4 linked regions of the Caenorhabditis elegans genome follow. The protein of the gene in region 3 purifies or fractionates together with the protein of the main gene of each other region. This does not show direct contact. Each region holds a gene or a part of one and is shown on either strand. Other genes may lie near its edges.

Evidence for each region.
Region 1: the proteins of pho-8 (region 3) and scl-2 fractionate together in Caenorhabditis elegans (co-fractionation; one large-scale study listed by BioGRID). This does not show direct contact.
Region 2: the proteins of pho-8 (region 3) and gba-4 fractionate together in Caenorhabditis elegans (co-fractionation; one large-scale study listed by BioGRID). This does not show direct contact.
Region 4: the proteins of pho-8 (region 3) and E04F6.8 fractionate together in Caenorhabditis elegans (co-fractionation; one large-scale study listed by BioGRID). This does not show direct contact.

What each region holds. Positions count from the first base shown.
Region 1 is NC_003282.8:13,055,786-13,059,685, reverse strand, and holds scl-2 (SCP domain-containing protein), read right to left. Parts: upstream 1,977-3,900; 5' UTR 1,965-1,976; coding exon 1,791-1,964; intron 1,740-1,790; coding exon 1,602-1,739; intron 1,432-1,601; coding exon 1,220-1,431; intron 788-1,219; coding exon 688-787; 3' UTR 624-687; downstream 1-623. Other genes in the region: scl-3 (SCP domain-containing protein), read right to left, coding at 16-58; scl-1 (SCP domain-containing protein), read right to left, coding at 2,425-2,524, 2,580-2,797, 2,845-2,982, 3,128-3,295.
Region 2 is NC_003282.8:5,344,704-5,352,695, forward strand, and holds the start of gba-4 (Putative glucosylceramidase 4), read right to left. Parts: upstream 6,195-7,992; 5' UTR 6,136-6,194; coding exon 6,069-6,135; intron 4,719-6,068; exon of another isoform or gene 4,646-4,718; intron 4,227-4,645; exon of another isoform or gene 4,206-4,226; intron 4,019-4,205; exon of another isoform or gene 3,998-4,018; intron 3,859-3,997; exon of another isoform or gene 3,838-3,858; intron 3,593-3,837; exon of another isoform or gene 3,572-3,592; intron 3,118-3,571; exon of another isoform or gene 3,097-3,117; intron 2,985-3,096; coding exon 2,802-2,984; intron 2,514-2,801; exon of another isoform or gene 2,505-2,513; coding exon 2,355-2,504; intron 2,310-2,354; coding exon 2,003-2,309; intron 1,954-2,002; coding exon 1,713-1,953; intron 1,596-1,712; exon of another isoform or gene 1,572-1,595; intron 1,181-1,571; exon of another isoform or gene 1,160-1,180; intron 896-1,159; exon of another isoform or gene 871-895; intron 776-870; coding exon 499-775; intron 452-498; exon of another isoform or gene 431-451; intron 364-430; coding exon 131-363; intron 125-130; exon of another isoform or gene 104-124; intron 32-103; coding exon 1-31. Other genes in the region: Y4C6B.7 (Activin_recp domain-containing protein), read right to left, coding at 6,806-6,880, 7,096-7,201, 7,415-7,494, 7,542-7,593. UniProt on the Caenorhabditis elegans protein: Glucosylceramidase that catalyzes the hydrolysis of glucosylceramides into free ceramides and glucose. C.elegans contains specific sphingoid bases, which are unique or different in structure compared to the sphingoid bases found in other animals.
Region 3 is NC_003283.11:11,831,473-11,836,315, reverse strand, and holds pho-8 (intestinal acid PHOsphatase), read right to left. Parts: upstream 2,698-4,843; 5' UTR 2,672-2,697; coding exon 2,492-2,671; intron 2,125-2,491; coding exon 2,032-2,124; intron 1,983-2,031; coding exon 1,827-1,982; intron 1,641-1,826; coding exon 1,221-1,640; intron 1,176-1,220; coding exon 1,056-1,175; intron 951-1,055; coding exon 816-950; intron 770-815; coding exon 665-769; 3' UTR 608-664; downstream 1-607. Other genes in the region: nphp-4 (uncharacterized protein), read left to right, coding at 231-358, 3,757-3,902, 4,747-4,843.
Region 4 is NC_003280.10:7,210,217-7,213,341, forward strand, and holds E04F6.8 (Cuticle protein), read right to left. Parts: upstream 1,165-3,125; 5' UTR 1,164-1,164; coding exon 1,077-1,163; intron 928-1,076; coding exon 703-927; intron 657-702; coding exon 582-656; 3' UTR 535-581; downstream 1-534. Other genes in the region: E04F6.15 (DeHydrogenases, Short chain), read right to left, coding at 1-53; E04F6.9 (Periplasmic protein), read right to left, coding at 1,464-1,541, 1,586-1,810, 1,857-1,940.

The sequences.
Region 1 (3,900 bases), on a different chromosome or scaffold from region 3:
AAAAAAAAAACTTACCAATCTGAAGGGTAACCAAAACGAGAAGAGTAAAGGTGTGCATGTTGTCTGTTGAAAATACAACTAGTAGGTTGGATATTTATAGGAGATTTTAGTTTGTATGAACAACTGGATGTCGTCGTCGCCGTGAGGGAAACTAAAAGTCATGGGAAGAGGGAAAAAACTAAAGAACGTGTGCTTTAATAGAAATAGACTAAATTGGTAAGAGTTTTATGTTGACATTGTTTGTTTTATATACAAAAGGGAGGCTGAAGTTGGATTTCATTTTTTGAAATTTCACACAGTAGATAGTAACAATACAGACATACGGTAATTTTTTGAAATTCATGGAAGTCAGAAACGGAAAAATAAAAACGTTTTCAAGCTGTTAACTTTCAACTAAATCACCAACATCTTTGAAAATACATACAAGATATCGTAGTCAAAAAACCTATAGCTTGAACTTTTTTCATAACTTAGATACATCTCTAGACACAAGTAGTCTTTGACCTCCCAATAAAGTTCTAACTGCTCATTATACTCCAAATCTGCCAATAGGATTTCGAACACGTAATCGTCGCATTTGTTACATAGGCATTTTGATCAAAGGTTGTTTGTGTTCTGGTTTTCAACTAGCACACAATTTTATTTATTATCTACAGAAAGTTTGAAAACACATTGCATTATTAAAGTTTAGACGCAGAGCCCTGTGGAAGTCTCACATGACGTTCCTGATGGACAGCCGGAACAGGTTGCTCCCGATACGTAGATGTATTGATTAATGAAGTTTCCTCTGAAAATTGATGTATTAGCAAACAGTAGCTTGTATTCAACAGGGCTCTCTCGCACATACACTTTTCAATTTTTTTTTATGTTAAAAATTTTGTCTCGGTTGAAATTAATTTTCCTAAAACTACTTTTTACTCTTCAGAAAAATCCTAACTCACAAAGTGTTCAAGACTACTTTACCAGTTGTCGAAGCACAGTTCACTTTTCGCCAACAACAATATTTTTCGTATTTTTGTATAATTTTTATTGGGTTTTTTGTTTTTAATGATCTCCTCAAAATGATCAAAATTTGTTGAAAATTGCCTAATTTTTTGGATTTTGTTTCAGGGAACGTGACCAAAAATTTATCTTTTTTGCAAACCTATCCTAGAGAACAACACAAAACACAACATTCGCAGACACAGTCAACATAGACTAGTCAACAAATCTCACTTACTGCGGCTTGTACTGGCACACGACGGTTACTTTGTTCAGGCCGTTTGAGTCTCTTCCACAATCCTTGACTCCACATCCGATCAGGTTGGATTTCGCCCACGCCATTTGAGTCGCGTGTCCGATTCCTGTGTTGAAGAGATCGATAGTCATAAGGTTAGACTTCCATCCGTAATCTTGGAATTCTTTTTCCCATGATGCCGACGCAGCAGATCCCTGAATGAAAAGATTGATTATAGAAATTTCAGAAACTTTTAAAATAAAGAAGGTATCAAGCGCCTGCCTCCTGCCTACTGCCAATATTCGCATGTTGTATTTAGGCAAAATTTGAACAAAATAGGCAGTAGGTCTAGGCAGGCAGGCACAAGGTAGACTAAATGACTGACATATTGATTGAGGTCTCCCAGAGATCCACTTGTCCAATACCAATACAAATTCTCCCCAAGGCCTGCATCTCCAGAGTGTCCCGTCGGACACCCGTTTGCGTAGTTTTGGGCGGATGCGGCGACTGCGGAATCCCATTTCTGAAAAGTTGAAATCAAAAATAAATCTGAGAACCTTAGTTATGTACATACCATTTTCAACAGATTTGTTCCCGGCGATTTCTGAGTTCCTTTTGCCACGTAGGTACCTTTTGCAATTTTAGACCGCAGAGTGTTATGTGCATTGATAATTCCGTTTTGTCCGGAAGAGCCGAAATCAGCGGAGCAGCCAACAGCAAGCGCCACAACCAGCAACAAGTAATTCATAATTGGAGAAAAAAGTGCAAGTCAACACGAATATGTTTATCACTGCGGTTCATTTTATAGGAGTCTTATCACGCGAAAACCTGTAAAATTGTATGATAATTGAGAAATCGTAAGCTACGTATGATCGGAAGTGGGCAGCACAAGACCAAAGAATTGACTTTTATCAGTAATTATGAACATTTGAGTCAAGTCAACAAGTATTCTGATTAGGAAGAAGTGAATTTTCTTCCTAATTTTGTTGTTGGCACATAGGCAAGTAGAATGTTTTACTTTTGCCTGCACTTGATGTTGTGTGCATTTTCGTAAATTTTAAAAAAGTTTGGTGTAATTTAAAGTTTTCGCTTTATTTTTTTTATATAATCACCAAGAAAAAACAAATGCTTCATTAGTAAATTAATTCCCAGATTAAAACAAAACAAATAAATTAAAAAATTACAGACACAAAAAGTGAAATCTCTCATTATCCGCAAAGCCCAGAAGCAGTGTCACATTTAGTAGATCCGGAACAGCTGGAACACGTAGTTCCTTCCTTATAAATCGGCCGTCCCATAGTGTTTCCTCTGAATATTTTTGAACAATTTTGAGTTAAAAAAAATCAAAAACTTCAGTGCTTACGGTGGACTATACTGGCAGACTACAGCTATTTTGTTCATATTTCTCATCGATGCGTCTCGTCCACAATTCTTGACTCCACACCCGATGGAGCTGGTGTTTGCCCAAGCCATTTGAGTAGCGTGTCCTATTCCACTGTTGAATAGGGTGGTATCCATTGCGTTAGACTTCCAGCCAAAGTCTTGGAATTCCTTTTCCCATGCGGCAGCGGCGATTTCTCCCTGGAAAGAATTATTGATTTCTGTCCCAGAAAAGTTATGCGACTCACATAGGAATCCAAGGATCCAACATCCGCAGAAGTCCAAGACCAATACAAATTTTCCCCATATCCAGTTCCCTTTGAGTGTCCAGTTGGGCACGTATTCGCATAATTCTGAGCCGACGCAGCTACGGTGGAATCCACGACCTGAAAAGTTTATTGAAGTATCATCATTGGGCTTTTTGTTCAAATATGATTGCCAAAAGTTACCCCAACTTGAATGACTTGAAACTCTTGAAAAAAGAAAACTTTAAGTTTTTTATTTGACATAATTGGGCAATTTAAAACCTACCATTTTCCTCATATCAGTTGCTGGTTCTTTTTTGGTTCCCTTCGCAACATAGGTACTCTTTGCAATAGCGGATCTCAATTTGTTATGAGCATCCACAATGCTTGATTGACCAGTTGAAGTGAATTGAGCATTGACACCAATTGCTAGGAGGCAGAGAATGAAGTACATGGCAAACAAAATTATGATTTAAAGTTGCAAACGTGCTGCTTTTTATGAGAGGAGTTTTTTAATCAAGTACGAGATTTTCAAATAACTTTTAATATTTGCAAAACGTAAACAACAACAATCTTTATTTTTGTCCATTGTAGAGAAAACTCATAAATGATCCAAACGATTTGGTCAATAACAACAACAAATTGAGCTTTTTACGGATATCAAAAAGATCAGCCGGACTGAAAATATTATGCTATCGGGCTTCAAACCCACACACTTTTCGACTCGGCAAATTTGGTAAATTTGCCGCCCACCCCTGGTTTGTACTCGAATAATTACTAGAGAATCAAGCAAAAAACTGGAACAAAACTTTATTAACAAAACTTTATACTTTGACAAAAAATATAGTAAGTACTGATTTCCTCATTAATATTAATAATTATAATAAACTAAATCGTAATTTATCTGTAATTTTAAATTTAACTTATTCAATATTCGCCGACTGGATTCTTACTTCAATCCAGGATTTACACTTGAGGACTTCAAATTGATGAAGTGTGAAGAACTGACAATATGGAACCATAGCTTTACTCCAGAATACTTGAATCATTTTATCCGTA
Region 2 (7,992 bases), on a different chromosome or scaffold from region 3:
CGTCACTGATTGCCACGTCGAAGCTGAGTACCTGAAGTTTGGATAAAAATTTGTTTTACTGTTTCTAAAATTTAATAAACTAGAACTATAAATAATTCCATGTTGGATTATCTCTTTTTGATTAAATTACCTCATTTTTATTCAATAAAACCACAGTTTTGGTACCATCTTGATTCAAAAATGAAAGACCCTCAACATCAACTGATTTCTCAATAATGTTTATTCCAACACGAATAGCTCCCGGTTTCACAAATTTACTGAATTGAGCCATTACATGCCAAATTGGTTGTTTGTAGTACTCTTGAGCAGTTGCATTCACGATTATTGTTGAATCGACAAAGTTTTTGGCAAGATTTGGTCCTCCTGGAAAATAAATATTAGAAAACTGTTTCAACCTAGTTATATCAAAGATTTAAAATTCTAAATCTGTTTCTTACTATGGTTTTTGATGTTTTTAAATTAAAAAATCGCAAGTGTTGCTACACTTCACAAACCAACCTTGTAAATCAAGAATATAATTCCAATCAACCCATCCTCCAACCCAATTTCCCATATCTTTAATCAAATCATTTGCATATTGTTCAGCTCTAGACCATGATCCCAATTTTGGTCCATCTGCTGGGAAGTATCCAGCACATGCTTCAGTTGCCAAAAGGAAATAGTCTGGGAACTTCTCGTGAGTTTCAGTGAGTACGGTTGCTGGGTCAATGAAGTCTTCATACCAATGAATTGCAATTCCGTGGACGTATTGAGCAGCAGTTGGATCCGTTAAAATCTAAAATTTTATTTTAAAAGAGTGGGGACGTCGGAATGGGATATGATTTTTAATCAAGGGTTAAAAATTCAAATAGGTAAATTCTGCGGATAACTCTTCCCAAGGCCAAAGAAAGATTGATGGCAATAATAATTTTCTTATATTTATTTTGAATGTAAAACAGCACAAAGTTTGATTATTTTATGTTTTTCCCTACTGTTGCATAACTGTTTCAACAAAACGACAACTCACCACATTTGGCCAATTTGGCAAAATAATTTCCTGATTATCATTCATCATAATCTTCAAATTCTAACAATTAGTCAATAAATACTTCATTACACTTTGTTTCATAATTTACCAAAGACTACGGAAAGCTCAAAAATACCTCAATTTTGATTCCCAAAAACAGTACTTTTGTTTCGACTGTTTTGTTTATAATTTCTATATATATATTTATTTTGAATGTGAAACAGTACAATTTTTGAATATCTGATATGTTTCAATGTTTCAACAAATCCATTTTAGCATTACGTTTCTTATCAGTTTTGCACATTTTGTCGTTCGATTTTAATTTTTTCTAAAACAATTTACACAACTGTTGAACTATTCGGTCAATTCAGTAATAATTGTAGGTGAAAGCGAGTTTTAAAATTAAAATAACCGTTCTAGTGTCTTGATTCGAAAAAAATTCGAAAATACTTAATTACAATGGAGTCTTAATAGTGTTAAAAAACGGTAAGTACCTAATAGAAAACAAAAAAATAAACAAAGGAAAGAGCTATAAAAGTTTTGAAAATTTTCAATAAATAAAAGAGGTTTTGTTTCTCGTATTGGATTACTGTTTTGTTTATAATTTTAATATATTTATTTTGAATGTGAAACAGTATCTAATTAATTTTTAGTCATTCAATCATTTCTACCTATTACTCAATGTTTTATCCCACCAATAACTTACTACATTTGGCCAGTGTGGCAAATTAATTCTCTGATCATCATTAATCATAATCTTCAAATTCTTAGTCACTGGTGATGAAGCAAGTGCTGGTCCCAAAAGTTTCTTTATAAAATTTCGTTCCATTGATGCATCGAAAAAGAGTGTTTGCCATTTCCAAAGTGGATCAATTCCAGTTGTTGGCTCGTTTTGTGGTGTCAAAGACCAAAAGTCAATACCTTGAGCGTGATAGGCTTCGAAGAATCTTTCATTTTATAATTTTATTTTTTATTTCTTTGAAAATAAGAACTTACTTTACAAAGTACTGTGCCCATGTCTGATAGTATTTTCCATTCTGATCTCCCAATAGCTCTCCGGCACCAACCATTCTTCCAGAAGTTTTCATCCATCCTGGGGAGCTCCATGGAGTTGCAAATAGCTTTAATTTCCCTCCAGAAGCTGTCATTGCCTTCTTGATAAATGGAATTTTATACTGGAGATCTTCCACTGTTAAATTGAAATTTTTGAGATCAAAATCAAATTTAACGTCGTCATAACTGTACTCGTGAGTTGAAAAGTCAGTTGAAGCCATTGGAACTCGTCCAAAAACATACCCGAGACCTAAATTATTTATTTTTCAAGCTTAATCTTTTGAAAATAACTTACCATCATCGGAAAAGTATTGCTGAATAATTTGATCTTGCATTGTCTGTGGCAGCATCTTCATATTAATTCCAGCAGCATCAGTGAATGCAGCTCCAAATCCCATTACCGGTTGAAAACTTTGAGTTGTGTTCACATATACTTTTGTTTTGGCTACAAAAACGATGTATCATATCAACAATTGTTACAAAATAATTGTGAAACAGTAGAATAATTTTTTGCCAACTTCAAAATAAAAAAATATCATTCTCTAAATTCTAATATTATAAAGGTTTTTGTGTTAGTTGAGCGGTGCCTGCCTCTCTATCTAAGAGCCTGCCTACCGCCTATTTTGCATCAGTTTCGAACCAGAAGTTACTGATAAGCTTCCGGTGTATTCTGGAGGCAGGCAGACAGGAATGCAGGCAAGAATTCTGTGCCTTCATGGAACTTCCTATACAATTAACGTACCTGTAGAAGAAGTTGTATGCTTCAATTCACTTCTGTTCATTCTTTTTCCATTTCTTGATGTTGTATAGACAACTGCTTTCCCAGAAGTAACAGTTCCAAGTGGTTCAATTGTATCACAATACGTGGCATTGCAACGACAAACTATTCCATACTCTTTCTTCACTTCGGAGCAAGGAAGGGACTCTGGAAATTGGCTTCAGTTGTGTTTAGTTAGTTGGAATGGTTTTGGAAATTGTGCAGGACTACGTGTTTAGAAAATGTCTAAAGCTATTTCCAGTTCTGTAAATTGTGGTTATGAAAATTTTTACCATACGAAATACATATTTCAAATTTTACATTTCATAAATAAATTTGTTGAAACGGAATTTTTTAAAACTGTTTTATCCATGTTTTGCCTGCACATTGCAAGCAATGAATACAATACATTAATTACCGTATTTCTTCTATTAGTCTTGCATATGCAATTATGAAAAAGCTTTTTTTAAAGCATTTTTTCTAAAAAAGTTTCTAAAATAATTTTTTTACAGTCTGCTGCCCATTTAGATTAAAGGATACGAAAATTAATTTTGAAGAAAAATAGTTACGATTAGAAAAATATTAAATTTTGCATTTAGCAGATTGAAACTGAGTTATTTTCCTAAAAAAAATTATAACTGTTATCTGTTATCTATTAATTAAGGTTTGTTAATTGTAAACTCTGATAATTCAAATGTTTGACAATTTGAAAAAATCTGATACATATGTGTATAAGCGTAATGAAATCATTGCTCAAATATTGAAAAAAGATACTATTATCAATTCAATACCAATCCAAAACTCATATTATAACACAGAAACAGTAATTTTTTATTGGGATAACAACAAAAAGTTATGAATTTTTTCTTTTTTTACTTTTTTTTACCTCGGAGCAGTAGAAACTTTTCATGTTGGCAATTATGTTAAGATTGATGTCTACAATGATTTTTGAAATGACAAATTTTTTTTTAAATACCGTTTCACATAATCTTTAGAAGTCTTCAAAAAATATTGTTATCGTTGAATCCAATTTAGATGTAGCAAAACTGACGAATCCGAACTAAGAATTAGGGTCTTAATTTAATCGATTTCTGAGTGCAAAAGTCCAGATTTGTCCGTTTTAGTCACATTTGGTTCGCATTTATTGAAATTTTATAAACGCATTTGAGGACAGTTATATCTAATACATTTTCTTGTTCGCAACAGAATCATAAAAGTGTGGGATTTTAACAGATCATGTTGGAACAGAGTTTTTTTTGTGAAAATAAATATTAAAAAGTTGTAGCTTCAAATGCATTTTTCATGCTCGATATTTGTTTTAATTTGTATTTTTAATTTGTAAAACTTCTGTATCAACTTTCCACAATTTCCACATTTTGTTTAAAAAAAGATTTGTTCGAATTGCACGAATTAAGTAATACAAATACTAACTCAAATATTATACCTCGGAAACGGCAATATTTTTCAATGGGAATTTTTAAATTTTTTTAAATAGAAGTTATTAAATGATTATTGAGAATTCAGTTCCATTGAATTCAGTTCCAGTATTACTGTTTCTCAGTCATGATATGACAATTTGTCATATCATAACTGACTAGGGAGTGCTTTCACTATACGGTGCGATCGAGTAAAAGTAAACGTGTTATGCGATAGCTGGCATCTTAGGCTTTCAGAATCTGTAATTTGTTTCGGCGGAAGACCTCTGTGAGTCTGGAAATTTTCATCTGAAAATGTAGTACTGAAATCAGTTCATTTCCTATGGTTAACAGTGGATTTTGTCTCTGGCGCCAACAGAAGTCTCACCACAATGGTGGAAGGGCGAAATCATCGCTTCGGTGGTCGAGTGGTGAACGCGTTCGCCTCTTGAGCAGAAGTTTGTGGGTTCGGTTCCCACACATGGTTTAAATTTTGGCCTTTTTTATACAAAATTTTTAGAACGGGAAACAAATGTTTAAAACAGTTTTTTGAGGTTTTTACATTACTTTTTTGCTTTTTGATTGAACCACAATTACCCTGGAAACTTTTCAGAAATTTTTATTTTTTTCGAAAATTGCCACTTTTTTCTCCCATGAGAAAATTGGTTCCAAAAATTTTGTTTGAAATTTTTTCAAAAATGTATGAAATATTGTAGAGTGTCACGAATAACTTATTTTTCATTGTTTTCAATGACCGAATCACTGATTCTGATGCCGTATCAAGACGTTTTACCAAATCGATATTGGCAAAACATCTTGTTTTTGAGGCTCCATATCTCTGCAGAAAAAAATCGCACTAAAAGTGATCAACTAGAAACTTGTTAAACACAATGTGATCTAAAACTTTTCAGTTGAACACTTTTTTGTAAAAAATTTGGTTGCCAGGTTGGAACCAATTGATTTGAGCGTCATTATTTTTGAATATTCTAAATAGTTAAAGGTCTATATCTTGGGAACCAAATTTTTTACAAAAAAGTGTTCAACTGAAAAGTTTTAGATCACATTGTGTTTAACAAGTTTCTAGTTGATCACTTTTTAGTGCGATTTTTTCTGCAGAGATATGGAGCCTCAAAAACAAGATGTTTTGCCAATATCGATTTGGTAAAACGTCTTGATACGGCATCAGAATCAGTGATTCGGTCATTGAAAACAATGAAAAATAAGTTATTCGTGACACTCTACAATATTTCATACATTTTTGAAAAAATTTCAAACAAAATTTTTGGAACCAATTTTCTCATGGGAGAAAAAAGTGGCAATTTTCGAAAAAAATAAAAATTTCTGAAAAGTTTCCAGGGTAATTGTGGTTCAATCAAAAAGCAAAAAAGTAATGTAAAAACCTCAAAAAACTGTTTTAAACATTTGTTTCCCGTTCTAAAAATTTTGTATAAAAGAACCCAAAATTTAAACCATGTGTGGGAACCGAACCGACAAACTTCTGCTCAAGAGGCGAACGCGTTCACCACTCGACCACCGAAGCGATGATTTCGCCCTTCCACCATTGTGGTGAGACTTCTGTTGGCGCCAGAGACAAAATCCACTGTTAACCATAGGAAATGAACTGATTTCAGTACTACATTTTCAGATGAAAATTTCCAGACTCACAGAGGTCTTCCGCCGAAACAAATTACAGATTCTGAAAGCCTAAGATGCCAGCTATCGCATAACACGTTTACTTTTACTCGATCGCACCGTATAGTGAAAGCACTCCCTAGTGAGAAACAGTAATATTTTTTTAGAACTTTTCTAAACACTTCCAGGCACTTCTACTACTCACTTGCATCGCTTGAAAATCCATAAAACGCCAGAAATATTAGCAAAGAAACGGATATATTCAAAATCATGATAGCCTAGTCTAGTGTATTCCGTTAAAACCGGACACTTTCCAAGACTACTAATGAATAAATGATAAGAACAATATTTGAAGACACTGACCACGTTTTTATAAAGACTAATCAGTTGGAATATTCTGATCAAAAAATAATTGAAACTGATAAGAAATTATGGAAAAAAGAAGGGAAAACACATAAATTATTGGTTTCAGGCTGCTAACTATGCAGGACATATATAGATAATGACGGGGGCAATGGACAAATCATGGTATGATAAAGTTCGTGGTATGAGCGTGAGTGAGCTACATGTTGTCACCTATAGTGATCTGAAAACAATAAAGAAATTGGAACTTTAACATATTATTAGCAGGTTCAAAAAATTTTACCGTTTCAGTGTTTAAATTTAATTACGTGGGAAAAATTAATGTAATAACACTCTCATGGTATGCTTTTTACTGTCGTTTCATAAAAAAAAAACTTGCACAATTTAATGAGATTTCAATTATAGAAGAAGTACGAGTTGGAACGAACCGTTTTGATGCTTCTGTAAATTTTATTATTTTTTGAAAACTTTGTTAAAAGGCTTTTTTTTTATTTTGAACATTTATTTCATGCAAAATGAACTAATCAGTTAGGGAAAATTTTAAACCATTAGAAAAATAATAAATTTTTTATTAAGAAATCAAGGAAGCTCGACAAAACTGCTCTTCCTGGTTGGAGCGACAGTAGTTGGAATTTGAACGATGTCTTCACTTTTCTGAAAGTTTAAATTTTGCTGTAATTTTAGTGTTATTTAAATAATTTGAAAACTAAAATTTCAACTGAACCATAATAGTTCAGCATTTTGGTTCAAATCAGCAAGCAATTGTTTTAGTCACTTGAAAAAATTACTGTTTCACAAGTTTTACTTGATTTTCAAATTTCATTAGAAAATTGATCTCATCCTATAAAGCAATTTCAATGCACACGAACATTCTTACGGGTTGCTGCAGTTGGCATGATGACGTCACCGAGTTTTGGAGCACTTGGAACAGCTTTCGATTTTGAGCTAGTTTCTCCGGCTTTGAACTCGGTTCCGCTGAAAAAAATTGTTTTAAAAATAGCCAATATATAGATGAAGTCTGCTTTAAGATTTTTCGATTCAACTTTTTTTCTAAAAATGTGTAATGAATCTTTATATATTTTTTTCTTTTTTTCTTTGGAATCTATTTAAAAATTCTTGTAAGTATTTCGTACCTAAAATTTTCGTATTTCCTATTTCAAAAAAGTTTCACAAAAAAAAGTAACTTACTCTCCCTTCCACTCGTTACACTCATCAAACTGGCAGCAACAAAAAGTGGAATCTTTGGTTTGGAAATGGCATCCGGTCATCTAAAATTGATATAAATTGTCTGATGCTCAGAAAAAAATGAACCAACCGGACATTTCTCCTCCATACTGTGCTCATCGCTCCACGAACTGCATTCACGTCTGCAAAATTATTATTATTCTTGGGCGTAATGTTAAGCATGTAATGTTAAACAATTAAATTGAATGAGTTTTAAAGAACATGTGAAACAGAAAAATTTTTATTATTTGAGTTAAAGGAAATCAAGAAAAATTTCATTGTTTCTGTTTTACTGTTTCTGATTAGAAATTAAGAATTCACTTTAATTTTGTTTTACTATTAATAAGCTTGGATCTCAGAGAGATTTTTTAAAAGTTACACACAAAAATGAGCTTACATGTCACTTTTTGATTTACAGTTTCAACTAGAAGATATATTTCACCATGTTTGACTAATTACATTCTTTCGGTCGATAGGTTGACAATGGGCTAGAAATTACCAGAATACACAATTCTAAGTTTTTGCAACTTTGCCTGAAAGAA
Region 3 (4,843 bases):
TGATTCCTAATCTTTTGCGAAGGCGGAGGAGGACGATGTGCCAGTTGTTTGGTCCCCGCGGGAAGAAAACAAAAAATAAAAATGCTTGGATTCCAACACCTGGTCGCTCTTTTTCTCTCCCACACTCTCATCTGGTGGGGATTCAGAAGAAAACAACACACAAAAAATGAAGAATAGATGAACAATAAACAAAATGATAGGAATTACGTTCTTTATCTGTTTATTTTCAGCGAGCATGATGGAGTGCCAGATGATTTACTGAAAGTGTATACAGCATCTGGATGTATGAAAGTTGTGGATTCTGTGCTCACTGAAAGAACACCTACAGCCACAATTGATTTTACACCAAACTTTATTGGTAAGCCTTTAATACAACAAAATGTGATATACATATGAGCACTTGCGTACTGTCAAATCAAAAATGAAAACGTTTCTATTTACCCGTTAAATGTTCAGAAAATTATTTACAATATCTAAAAGTGCAAAGAGCAATACCGTTATTCCACACAAAAATAGAGAAAAATACACCAAGGATATTTGTCGTCAATCTTTACTCAACTCTTTTGGGTTTTCTAAATTTGCTCTATAAAACATTAACCATTTAAAATGTAAGATAGCAATAATTTATTTAATGGTTCCATGGGAACCAATGTTAAGATCTAGTTCATTTTGAATAAAATAAACTCGCTAAGAGAAATGGTAAGAAAAATGATAAAGAGTTGAACGTGTAAGACGAGTTTCCACATGCTTTGAGAGGAGTCCCGCATAACTGAAAATATGCGAACTTTGGTCTATAATGAGAAGATTATGCTTACCGTCATCATATCCGAGTAGTTTGTAACTGTCATATTTGAAAAAGCCACTGCCAATTGCGACACTTCACAAGGTTCCGGGCATCGGGAAAGCGGAATTCTGTATGGATCCGATGTAGTCTCATTTCGATAGTAGAGCTGAATAAATTAAAATGAACCATCAGCATTAATTTGAAAGAAAATATAAATAATTTTTTGTTAACCAAGTTTCCTAATAAAACTTATTTCAATTGAACAACTAACCTCAGAATAAAATTTTCCGTTGTCTGAATAAACATGCATGATAAGTGCAGCCGCATAAGGAACCATCATCTCATTTGAAGCACGGAATGCATTGAGAAGTGCAAGAAGAACACCATCATGCTGAAATTAATATAATAGATTTTCTCAGTTTCCATTAGATTTTACCGAAGAATAAAGAAGCATTCTCTGATCATTTCTGCTCTCAGAAACTGCAATTGCATTTTGAATCCAATTGTAAAGAACGGAGCCTCCTTCAAGTTTTCCTTTCTCTTCTGAATTAAATAGATTCATCATTCGAACGGTCCTCATTTCAGTTATAATGTCCATTGAAGTACGATTGTCATATTGAGGCCAGGTTTGTGTAACCCAATAAGGCTGTTTTGCAGTCATGTTATGAATCAACTCTCTTTGTATATCGAATAATCCATTAATATCCATATATGAACAGTGTTTGAATCCTGTAGTTTGAGAAAGTTCACTGAAGAAGTCTGCATACTTAACACTATAATAAGCGTTTGATTCTTGATCGCCTTGAGCCACTAAAACTTCATGACGAGCACATTTTATCGCAGTTGGTTTGCACACCTGAATCAGTTTATCTTAGTAAATGTAGTCTATAATGAATAGTCACTCTCCGGAAATAGAAATTGGGCTTCAAAATGTTTTATCAGTTGTTCTTACGTACTTTCTAATCTCTTTTGTCTTTCTGACGCATTTGTGATAAAACCTCATAAGAACAACTTTAGTTTAAATCTAAAAATCAACGGTTACCAAATCAGGTTCTCCTGGAGTAGATGCATGTACTGGAAGAGGTTGCCAGTCTATATCTGAGCTCCATTGATAACCACCAGAAGCTGGGTATAGCCCGTAAAGAAATGCTTGTGCAGATACCAAAGCACGATCAGAATCGGAAGAGCGCAGGTAGACCTACAAATTTCAAGAGTTTAATTTACAGATATGGTATTGAGTTTCTTACTTCTTTCACTGAAAAATTAGACGGAATAAATGAAGAGTCCACGTATTGGTGTCGGAAGAACTCTCCGAGCTCGTGAAGTTGTTGCATTCCAATCTAAAATAAATAGGTTTTTAAGGCAAAGTAGCGCCAGTGAAGGTTTTGTCAACGTGTATTTGAAATCAATCAGAAAAACTAATTAAAACACTATAAGATATTTGAGATTTTCATAATTTATAGTCAGTTCTAAAAAACTATATCCAAAATTTATAACCAAAAATTTTGACACTTTTCCTGTGATATTTGGTTATTTGAGCGTCACTGGGAGATGTTAAACATTTTTTCTGCTCCGTTTTTTAGGTCACTCTTTATAGCTGAAACAAATTAAATGTAATTATAATTTTATTGTGATATGATAGAAGATCGCGTAAGAACTCACAAATATTCAACAAGTACATTTCTTTAAAAGTTTAATAAAACAAACCGAAGTCAACTGCCCCCATCCCCTTGACCAAGCTTTTTCTGTGTACTGGTCATTTGGATACGGTAAGTGTAGAGGAGCACGGTCTCCATGTCGCCACAGTGCTTGTACAAACTCAAGTTTCCTAGATTCTATATTATTGAACACGGCAAGAAATATGACAAGTCCTTGTATCAACATCATCACGTCGTCTAGAAATCTCTGCAAAAAATTGAAAAAGTGAATACCGGACAGAAAAGTCGCAAAAAAGGGGACGAGTTCTCATGCAGGTCTATCAGGTTACATACAAGAATCGCACGCTATCTGATGACGGAAATTCTGATTCTTTTGACGTCGTCGAAATTGAGACGAGTATGTTCCAAAATAGAGCAAAAGTGCGGTGTAGTTGGATTTAAATAGAAAGTGAAAGTGGGGAGGAGTCGAAAGACTGTTAATTGTATGAAGTTTTGTTATCAGTTAACATTTTACTCCCACGGAAAAAAATGATTTTTTATCTAAAACGAATACTGGGTTTGAAGTTCCCGAATTTGGAAACAAATACGGAGAATTTTGTCGATCGGTCTTGAAATTTTAGTGCAGCAAAAAACAGTAGTGCCCGCCAATGTTCTATTCGCTGGTAGCTTATCGATGATGTTTGTGGTATTTTCTAGCATTTTTTACAAAGTTATGTATTTTCGAATATGCTACCTCACCTAGCACCTCGCGAGTTTATTTATGACTACTACTCTTTGAATCCATGTAACTGAATACATTTTTATTCAACCCATTATAATCAAAAAATAATCTACATACATCTATTGCTTAATTTTAATTGTCATGTTCTTAAGTCGTCAGGAAACTTACATTAGGGACACAATTTTAACTTGCAGAATGCAATTATGATCGAATTGTTCCGAATATTGCTTTTCAGCAAAAAAATTGTTTGAAATATATATATTGATAAAGAAATGACAATAAATCGAAAGTTAGGAAAGATCATAAGTACATTTATTTCAAAAAACGAACAAATACATCCAAAAAATGAAGCTCACAAAATTGATACGGTCGAAAAAACGCAAAAATGTTATCTCTCCTTGCATTTTAATCTTCTTAGACATACATCAGAGCCATGAAGAAAATGTTCAGTATAGTTGCAAAAATAGTTGATTCCACGTGCAAACTAGGCGCATCCAGGCGAGAAATATCCACAAAGTCATTTAAAATTCCAAATTTCACAAACTCATCCGATTAGTACCCCCGCGTTTTCATGACCTCACGTGTTGTTTCAGGAACAAAGAAGCTTGTCGTTTCTGTTGTGAATACCAATACATTGAAGTTAGAACGAGGGTTTTTGGTTTACGGAAAGTCTGAAGCGCCACGGATTACGCAGAAGTTTGTCATACAAATTCCATCATCTGATGAAGCTATTAGAAAGGTTTGTTGAATTTATATAATATTGAATGTTAAAGATTTTTAGTTTGGATCGACAGTAATTTCCAAACATTTCAAACTATTATTTTAACTAAAATAACAAGAATTTTTTAAAGTCAAAATCGCTCACTAAATTTAATTTTTTTGGGGCATGAAACTGTGATTTTCATGATACTTCTTTATTTGGCTAGCATGCAACAGACAACTTTCAGAATAAGGTAAAAAATCCGTTCAAACTAAACACATCTAACATTAAAATAAATAACATTTTTTCAAAATTTGTGTACAGTAAGAATGTTTTTGTTTACTGTTATTCATTGTCATGCTAGCAAATAATTAAAATTTGAAATGAATCAGAGAAACAACAGATAACAAAATTCAAATTTAGACTATAAGGAGGTTTTTTTTCAATTTGAAAACAAACCGATGGACTGAACAACTCAAATGTATGTGTGTTCTCTGTGTTGGTTTCCGAGAACTTTAAGCATTTCCCTGACAGTCCTAATAAGTCAATGAAAAATATTCAACTTCTTAGAGTGTGAAAAATTTGTCGAAGAAGTTTATGTATAAAATAACGAAGTACAACTATTTTCCTGGTAGAATAGTCTAAAGCTCTTACAACAATCATTAATATTATAGAAACTGTTCATCTCAATTGATTTCAATTTTACATAGTTTGAAAAAAAAACAAAGTGAGGTCCTTTAGAATATGGCGTTTTCTAGGGTTATAAACCTATTTGGATATTGTATAATTTAAGCTTATATGAGAAATCCTTATTTAAATGATTTTACAGAAAAAAAACCAATCTGGGGTCATAACCTTTTTTTGACGAAAACCCTTCTTTCAGAGAATCCCGATAAGAAACCCATATGGTTTACCAAAGACATTCCGAATCACCACATCAAATTCTGATATTGTAAAAATTACGGATAGTCTGTTGTCAG
Region 4 (3,125 bases), on a different chromosome or scaffold from region 3:
AGTGCATTTGTTCTTGAATGAAACTGCCGTTTCCTCTTACCATCAGCAACCATTCTGAAAATGAAAAAATTGATGAGTTTCTGAATTTCCTGTTTTATATTGAGAAATTATGATGTGAAGTTCAATGAATATTGGTAAAACTGTAGCTAAATTGACATATTTATCTCTATATTCATGTCATATTTTCAGGTGAAACGAGGAAAATGATCGATGCAAGTTGAATGATTTTTCATTTTCTTATCAGTAAAGTAGTACTTTCGAATAAGAAAAAAACTTACTATAAGATTCGCCTTATTGGAATTAAAAATCACACTAATTTCCCTATTTGTCTTGCGGTTTAATTTTAAATAGCCGAAAAAAATAGTAAAAATAGAAATAGTGTTACAGAAAATATTTAACAGATCAGTGCGGAATTTGCTCTGGAGATATTTTAACAGAACTTTTTGTGGGCGTGAAACAGTTACTACATTCAAATTTCTTTTCCAAATAATGGTTAAATAATTCCTTCAAACAGGTTTTTACGAAATATTGCAAACAATTTATTGTTATTTAAAAGAATTTATTGAAACAGTTTTTAAAAGTTATTGAAGAGAAAGTTTGAGAACTGGCGCGGCAACTCCAGAAAATCCATGATCCGTTTTCGTTTTGATAATTTTCTGAAATTAATACTTTTTCAATTCGGGAATTTCAGGAATTCAATACCGTTGGATATTCAGAATATGATCCAACATCAGCTTTTGTGAACTTTTTGATGACCAAATGTCCGTTATTCTCTTCATAATTTGACGAGTCAATAGCTTTTCCATTAGCATCCACAAACACTCCTTTGTTTTCTCCTTCGAAATGGAAAATCTGTTCGCCAGCGTCAACGGATCTCTGGATTGCCTTGGCTCCTTTGAAAAGTTCAATTTGCACTTTTTCGCCATCCTAAAATGGAATTTGTAAAATACTACTTGGTATTTCAAAATAAGAAAACTTTTGAAGTTTCGAGTAGTTTTGAGAAATACATTTAAAATTTCCTGTAGAAGCATGAACAACAGTTTTTAAACTATTGTCAGATAAAAAACTTTACAAACCTTAACTTCTTGAACTGCAATTGATCCTTCTCCAAACTGAAGAACAAAGGCAATCAGTATAAACGAAGAAATCAAAAACCGGCTCATTCTGAAAATGATAAAAAAAATTTAAGGAAAGCTTTTATTGAAAACAATTCAAAAAGCTCCTGAAACAAAGTTTTCTCAGATGATTTTGAGAGAAAAAAGAATGAAGAAAGAAAACATCTCTAGAACCCATTAAATAGTGACGAATGAGACTTGATTTATTGGTCACCTGTTGACTGAATAGAGGTCACGCCTATTTCTGTTCTGACTCACATTTTTGTTTATTTTTGCAAAGTTTGCACGAAATTGTTTTAAAAATTTTATTTAGAGAAATTATTAGAACACATTCCGAATGAAATTTGTTTATTGCAGGGAGATATCAAGAGTGAGTCCTGGAACAGCGGAGATGGATCCATCAGCGTGCTTGGTTTCGGTGTTTTTCTGAAATAAAACATTTCTAATTATTTCTCCCACTGAAAACTTACAGCTGGGTGCTCGGAGTAGGTTCCAACATCGGCCTTGGTGAACTTCTTAATGATAAGGATTCCGTTATTAGCTTCATAATTGGTTGACTCAATCTTCTTTCCCTTAGCATCAACAAATGATCCCTTGTTATCTCCGTCAAGGTGGAAGATTTGATCTCCACCGGCAACGGTTCTCTTGATTGCCTTGGCTCCCTTGAAAGCATCGATTTCAACTTTTTCTCCGTCCTGAAAATGATTTTTTGTTATTTTTCAAATAGGAGTTACAACAAACCTTAACCTGCTGTTGAGCAACGGCAGCATCGGATATGGCAAAGATGGCAACAAGGAGGAAAGCGGAAAGAATGAAGCGGTTCATTTTCTGAAATTTTATTTAATTTTCAAGAATGAAAAAAGTTTTGTGAATTGACACGAAATTCAGAAGAACAATTGAAAGAAAAAGCACAAAATCTTAAAGTGATGAAACCTTTCTCTTGGAACAACAATAAATAGTGTCGTCAGCCAGAAGATACTGCCTTCGAATGAAAAAAATAGGGTAAGCACCTCCGCTGGTTAAACTAAACGCCCAGCCCACTTTGCAATCAATCACTTTGTTTTTATCATTTGTTTGTTGGCTAGAGTGAGAGAAAATATCCTTCTTGTTATCAGAGTTATACAAAAAATCCTACAGAGTTGGAACACGGAACTAGAAAATGAGGATTCGTTTCCTTAGACTGTTCAAAGAATGTCATTTGGAGAAGTATTGAAAATGGAACAATCAGGAAGTTTATTTGTTCTTAAGATCAATGTGAGAACACTATGAAAGTTCACAATGATGGGATTGAGAAGGTCGTGTTTTGAGGCGCGTAGCTTTTTTTACTGATAGATGTGAAGTTTACAGGATGTTTAGTCGATTTTTAATATGTCGTTTTTTAGTTGGAAAGATAATTTAATTGATAAATTAGAGTACTTTAGAGTTCCAAAAATTACTGATAATACATAATTATGCCTCAAAAAAATTACGTGTATGTGTAGTTAGCTTTACCGCTAATAAGAGTTTAGTAAATAAGAAAAGAGGTGAATCGAATGTGTCTTATCTGAAACCGATTTATGCCATTTTGTGGCCAAGCAAACTTTTATAGTCCCTATCTTAATTGAATTATGTTGTGATGGAAAGTAAGAAATCAATAGAGCGGAAATTTTCTTTTTTGAATTTTTTTAACTGATCAAAAACACCTTCTATATTTTTGATGAATTATTATTTCTAATTCACAAAAGACGAGATTGTGTGCTCAAGATTGAAACAGGTTTTAAAACAATCAATTTGAAGGCGAACTTGAAGGCGACTAATAATTTTTAGGACTAGAAAAAAAAACGGTCTTATTATCAGAATATTACAACGCATAATAAAAAATTTAAACATCAGATATAAAATATACGTTCTGTGAGTTAAATGAATAACGTTTCAAAGGCTGAGGCCTTACAGATTCTTCAGCTCTTTTTATACTCTACAAACTTTGTGTTATTCTTGAAAATTTTCCGACCTTCGGATCAGTTTCCGTCA